Kluyveromyces lactis: one gene and its partner. The protein of the gene in region 1 purifies or fractionates together with the protein of each later gene. This does not show direct contact. Links are inferred from orthologs where the notes say so. Each region holds a gene or a part of one and is shown on either strand. Other genes may lie near its edges.

Region 1 (2,657 bases):
TTTGACCCATATACTATTAACTGTTTTTTTTTTACAGCACTGCCTTGTACGAAATGAAATGAAGCAGATCTAACGTACCAAATCTACCTTTCATGGTGAGTTATTTTGTCTCACATTATTCTATGTCATGACAAGTTAATAAAAGAAGATCTATTTTTTATCATTGATTATTGTAACAGTTTCATTGCATCGTGGCGCAACCATCCACGAGATCAAAAATGCGGGCGTGCTGCCTTACCTGTTATGGTTGTTTTTTAATGTCAGCTTATTTCAATTTTTTTTCAATAGAGACGGCTGGTACGGCTTTCATAACATTATACCACTACTTTTTTGAACCAATCAAGAACCTTCATAAATTATCAAAAATGCGGACCAAAATTGCTTGTAATCTTTTCATTTCTAATAGAGCAACTTGCTCACTCAATGCAGCTTTGTTTTAGATAGAGCGTACAAATCCTTTCTTATGCTTATCCTTTCTCATGATTTTCCTTTCTTATTGGATGCACTTGATGAGGTATAAGGACTAGCATAATCCGCCTTTTTATTTTACAGATTATACAATTATATATCCACCCGACATGCTAATGATACAAATAACTTTACCTAGAGAAGCTGGACCTGCATAGAGTACCTTGCATTATGGTTCAACTCTGGAGCTCTTTCAACTTTGAATCTTCCTTGTCTTTGGGTTTGCATTGATATCGAGCATTACTTACTATATGTTTGAATTGCTTCTATGTACATGTTTCATTTTATGAAAATTCAGCAAGTGTTTGATAGTGTGAATGTGCTCATTTCTTCTTTCTCATACTTGCTTCCAAATCTCCGACATCCAATCTGGTGTTTCTGATGTAATAATGTTTACTTCTGCGTCTCTTACCATCCGCTCTTCTAATCAAATCAATTCTCTCTACCAATGGTGAGAAGATTGGCACTCTCATTTCCACACAGGTTTTATAAATATAATCTCTTAATAGAATGGATGTGTCTTGTACTATTGGCTTACGGTCTACCGATAGCACATATCCAGTAAAACTATCGTAGTTGCATTTCTTGGAATCGTAAACTACACGAAGAACATCACCTGCACGTAGACGATTTGGGTTTTTCTTTGAAACCATCTCTGTTTTTACACCAGTTGGGTCAAGTTGTTTTAGATCATGATCAGCTAGAGTCTTCACTACTAATGGGGAGGATATTCTTTCAACTGGTGGGTAAACTGGAATAATCTTTCTTCCACTCTTAGCTGGAAGTTGATAACTTCTAACAGATTGTCTGATAACGGTAGGTAGTAGTCTCTTTAACATTGTATGGGACTAATATAGTTTTGGAATGGGAACTTGATCTGACGGGTAGTAAAGGCTTAAACTCAAATATAAACTGCGCTTCAGTGCTTTCTTAACTCTTAGGTACTTATGTTTCCATCTTTTTTAACCAAAATTTTCGAATGTTCTTTCTATGGAAAACTACAACATAGGTTTGATGATCATTTTAAACGTTTTGATCATGGCAGATGCAATAGACACGGAAAATGGTGAATGAATGATAACGTTTCAGTCCATGTTTGCTGATTGTATTAAGTGCGTATCTACTAATTCTATATATGCAAGACCATACTAAAACCTAGGTCTTCTCTTTCTACCCGTAAACTTCGAGTCGAGAGCTACCTTTCTACCTCTTTTTTTCATCACCTCCTTCTTTCTGTTGATGTAATCCTTACTTGATTCAACTAGTTTCTTTTTACGCTCTCTCTTTACCATTAGATCTGCATCCATCTTAACACCATCCAAGTTGACTTGTTCATTCTGTTCTGTAGATCCGGAGCTTAATACCAAGTAGTACTTCTTGTTCTTTTTGGACTCGGGATCATCAATGACAAGGCCACCAGAGAATCCAGCTACTTTTGCTGCTCCCAAGATTTGGTCTATTTGATCATCATTCTTTGGATAGAATTGTGCTACAAATTTTCCTCCTTTCTTCAAACTAGCAAATAGTGTATTGAAGAACCTCATGAGCCTTCTCTTTGGATCGTTGTACGATGTGTCCGCATTACATAACCATTGAATCACAGATATACTAATTGCCGCATCAAATACACCTGCTCTAAATGGAATACCTTGACCTATATCGTGTAACATAAGATCACCTTCAACTTCTCTTTCTAGCGCTTCAGCTAACATACTAGGAGAAATGTCTAATCCACACCATATATGTCCTTCTTCAGTGATGATTTCACCACTTAAACCAGACCCACACCCAATATCCAAGATATATGATGTATGTGGCAGGTTGAGAAGTTCTAAGGCCCGAAGTGTCATTTTAGCTTGAATATGTTGCACTCTTGTGGAGCCACTATACTTCTTAGATTCACTGTCATTGTAAAACACTTCTGGTGGTGCCAAATCTTCTGGACGTGACATTTCGATCTCAAACTTCTTGTAATTGTTATCCTATTATACTTTATTCCCGTCAGTTGATTAACAGAGCATATCAATGCAAACAGCTTGCTCAAGTAGCCATTGTTAGTTCGTAAATGTTTGGCGATGACCGAGATGAGCTTTAAAATTTTGAATCAAACGTTCGGAAAAGAAACTTGGTTGTAGTAAAGAATGTGGTCACGTGCAATAGGGAACGTATCAAGCTAGTAGATATAAGAT
Region 2 (3,980 bases), about 300 kb from region 1:
CTGGTTCGTCTGAGGATGGTTCTCCGCATGGTTTAAGTGGCGATGGTGGTTCTTCGTCGTCTGGTTCGAATCACCATAATGGTCATACGAATTTGGCCGAAGATGGTAGAGCGGAGGATGAGGACGATGATGAGGATGATGATGCGGCTGTGACTGCTGCTATCGCAGCGGCAGTTGCAGCAGTTGCAGACTCTCAGGAGACTATCAAGGGTCCCTTCGTGGTAACCAAGATTGAACCTTATCATAACCATCCGTTGGAATCAAACCTTTCTTTGCAACGGTTTGTCTTGAGTAAAATTCCAAAGATTTTACAAGTTGATCTCAAATTCGACGCTATTCTAGAGTCGTTGTGTAACGATGACGATAATACAGTGGCAAAGTTTAGAGTGGCACAGTACGTGGAAGAATCCGGGATTCTCGATATCATCAAGCAACGGTACGGGTTGACCGAAGCTGAAATGGATAAGAAAATGTTAAGTAACATCGCTAGACGTGTTACCACGTATAAGGCCAGATTCGTCTTGAAAAGAAAGAAGGATGGCGTATACGCAATGCCCACCGCTCATCAATTGACTGGCGGTGACCACCATCAAGTACAACACCATCATCATCCATCGATACCAGCTCACCACCAACACCAACTACCCGAAGGTCAACAACGCGACGTTCAGCATCATCACCAACAGCAACAGCAACAACTACAACACCAGGAACAACACCAATCACATGTTGATAGTGGACATAATGTATATCAGAACAGAATTGGTTCGATCAGTGATAATGATGATTCCGCTATACATAATCTGGATGACACTAACGTACGTGTCGCAGCTGCTGCAGCTGCCGCTGCAGCGGCTCTGCAGTCTAGAGAAAACCACGATACCGAGGATCTGAAACGTACGCTAGAACAAGTGCAAGACGATGAAAGTTTAGACGTCGGTGTACCCGATTCCAAGAGACAGCTCCACAGAAGAGAAAGAGACAGAGTCGCGGAAGCTCTTAAAATGGCTACCAGAGATATCCTGTCAAATCAAAGTGTTGATTCTGACGTGAACGTCGATGTCGATTTAGTCACTGGCCATAAACAATTATCACCTCATGACGACATGGCGGAGCAGCTAAGGTTGTTGTCATCTCATTTGAAGGAAGTTGAAGCCGAGGAAAATGTCTCCGATAATAATCTCAAGAAAGACGATATTCCTGATGAAAATATTCAGCCGGAACTAAGAGGACAATAACCAACAAATTTAATACACCCTCATGACACATTCCTCTCTTTTCATATTTACTGAAAAATTGTAAAATTGTAACTATATATAATATTATCTTATGTGTAACTTTTATGATGGAAAAAAAAAATATATGAACATTAACTGGTTCCTATTCAACGATCTGCAGAAGCTCCACAATTATAATAAAAATTCAGGAACATACATTTAACCAGTTACCTGGATTCATACGGTTTCGAGAAGTTGAGCTTGTCTATTAGTTTAACCATGCATAGATCCTACGCAGTACTTCTTCGCAACAATGTGGCTCGTCTTTGTTATAGACCGGGTTCTACCTTATTCATTCGAAATTTTACCACCAGACACTCCTTAAGACAGAGCAAGCCGTGGTATTTGGACATATCAGAGAATAAGGAGGAAGATTCAAATTCTCCTTTCATTAAACCCATACGGTTTCCTCCTACAGAAATTCCTGCTTCACTAGAAACCATTTCAAAATATCTAAATGATAAGTTGGCAGTAACGGACATTGTGGTTTTCGACACTGCCCACTCCAGTTCTGCCACTTCAATTCAAAGCATGGCTAGCTATGTTTTAATTGGTACTGTGAAATCATTTAGACACCTTCAAAACTGTAATGATGAGCTAATAAAGTTTATTAAAGAAACGTTTGATGAAGTACCCAAATCGGAAGGTTTGGTCACCAGTGGTATACTAAGAAAGAGACAAAGGCGTCTAGGCAGGAAAACTAATTTGGGCAAAATAGCCAAGATAGAGAATGATGAAAGTGGCTGGTGTTTGATAGATTCTAACGTTGATGGGCTGTTTATCAATATAATGACTGAGGAAAGAAGAGATGATTTGAATTTGGAGGAGTTGTATTGTCGTGTTGAGGAGCTTGACCAGTACAAGAAGCAAATCAATTTAAACCCACCAGCGGAAGAAGAGGATGATGTTTTACTTGGATTAAGAAAGTTGATGATGAAAAATACGAAAAGATACTATTCTACCGTGGGAGAATCTCCGAAACCAACGTTCTTGGAAGCTCTTACAATCCAGGACCTAGATTCCGCTTCAAAACTGATAAAAGAAGAAAAAAAGCCTTACCATGTTATAGCATCTGCTCTCGGACGTTTACCAAACCATATAGAACTTGATGCCGAAAATTGGATAAAGCTATTTAATGAAGCCACACCAACCGAAGGTCCGTTAGACTATGAGTACTGGGGTGCAAGGTTCAAGTTTTTCCAGTTACTTTACATTTCCAAAAGAAATAACATAGAAGAAAATACTCAGTTAGATGCCAGTACAATCAAAGAGTTTAACAGAGAACTAAACTATTTCATCAATGATTTTTTTAGGTTTAAGCAATTGGCATTATGTCAGCCGACAAGAGAGGAGTTAATTGGCTTTCTTGAAATTTGCATTCAACATCTCAAACTTTCGAAAAGCTATAACCAGCTGATAAGTGTGAATATGTGGATTCTCAAGGCCTTACAGTCATATCAATATAGTGATCCTAAGGTTGTCCATGATCCCAGGGTCATCAAACTTTTAGTTAAGTCAATGCATACCGAAAACACTAACCTTAACTCACTTTACGAGTATGTCAATCTCATCACAAATGAATTTGAGGTAAGATCATTAACAAATGACGTGATAAAAGAAATAATAACGACTTTGGTAGAAAGTGAAAACTGGCCGACTTTGTTTAAATTTTGGAAACAATGCTTGTGTGAGAGTGCTGTCGATAGTAACGTATGGGATTTCTTCATAAAATCATTATTAAACAAGAATGACAAAGTCATTTTATCAGATATAGTGGATAATGGTCATTTGTTATGGATTCATAGAAGTAAATTGGTGATAAGTGATGACTTAAAAGCGTCACTATCGAAGTTACTTGACCGGGTGGATGGTAGTCATACCAATATTAAGAAGCTACTAAAGCTGTAAATAGTTTATAGACAGATATGATATTATTCTGGAAGGAAATTTCCTTCATTATTTTAATGTGAGATAAGTGTTCATGTGAAAGATTATGTCGATCAAAGCGCTTTAAGTGTTGCCATGAGTTGAAGAATTCAGACATTCAAATGTTTGTTCAAATATTCAACGAATAACGGTTTTACTCTATCTTGCTCTAAGTTTCTTAATCTATTCATTGCAACAAATTGACGTTTTATTCTTTGTAATTGAGGCATGGAGCAATTTTGTAGTGAGAGATCGACATAAAGACAGTTTGGATCGTTTAAATCAGTATTCTCAGGAGTAAGAATTATTCTTGAAGTGCCACCACTGACCACATTTTGCTGCATATATTTCATTATAATCTTTATGACACTACTGGCCTCGGAGTCAAGTATTTGCAAAGAGTTAGTGTGAGAGGCAGCCTTCAATATCGTGGCATTGTTTGGCTTTAATTGTTGCAGGATCTTCTCAGTATCTCTATCATTCGTTGCCGGTTTGAACACGGTTGGGAATATTGCCTTACTAATATCTGTGTATAGGGTACTGATGTCATCTTGAGACGTCAATATAGTGAATAATGGAGAATCCCACCTTGTTTGAGGGTTTGGTTCTTCATACCTTTGAATAAGAGCATTCAAAAAATTGCTTTCCCAAGGTTTATGCAAATCAGTCTCTTTCTCATTCCATTCAACCAAGTTGCTCATTGGGCATACCGTGTGGATCAAACAATACGTTGTCATCACGTTTTTCACTTCACAGTGCAATTGATACCGGAATCCT

What was found.
Region 2: the proteins of IMG1 (region 1) and ATP25 purify together in Saccharomyces cerevisiae (affinity purification with mass spectrometry, with the first as the bait; 3 studies listed by BioGRID). This does not show direct contact. The link is inferred for Kluyveromyces lactis from reciprocal best matches to the Saccharomyces cerevisiae genes IMG1 and ATP25.

Annotation. Positions count from the first base shown.
Region 1 is NC_006042.1:571,659-574,315, reverse strand, and holds IMG1 (mitochondrial 54S ribosomal protein bL19m), read right to left. Parts: upstream 1,308-2,657; coding exon 792-1,307; downstream 1-791. Other genes in the region: BUD23 (18S rRNA (guanine1575-N7)-methyltransferase), read right to left, coding at 1,617-2,420. UniProt on the Saccharomyces cerevisiae protein: Component of the mitochondrial ribosome (mitoribosome), a dedicated translation machinery responsible for the synthesis of mitochondrial genome-encoded proteins, including at least some of the essential transmembrane subunits of the mitochondrial respiratory chain.
Region 2 is NC_006042.1:273,546-277,525, reverse strand, and holds ATP25 (Atp25p), read left to right. Parts: upstream 1-1,496; coding exon 1,497-3,185; downstream 3,186-3,980. Other genes in the region: DNA-binding protein ABF1, read left to right, coding at 1-1,238; KTI12 (Kti12p), read right to left, coding at 3,314-3,980. UniProt on the Saccharomyces cerevisiae protein: mRNA stabilization factor specific for the 0.95 kb OLI1 mRNA. Also involved in OLI1 ring formation.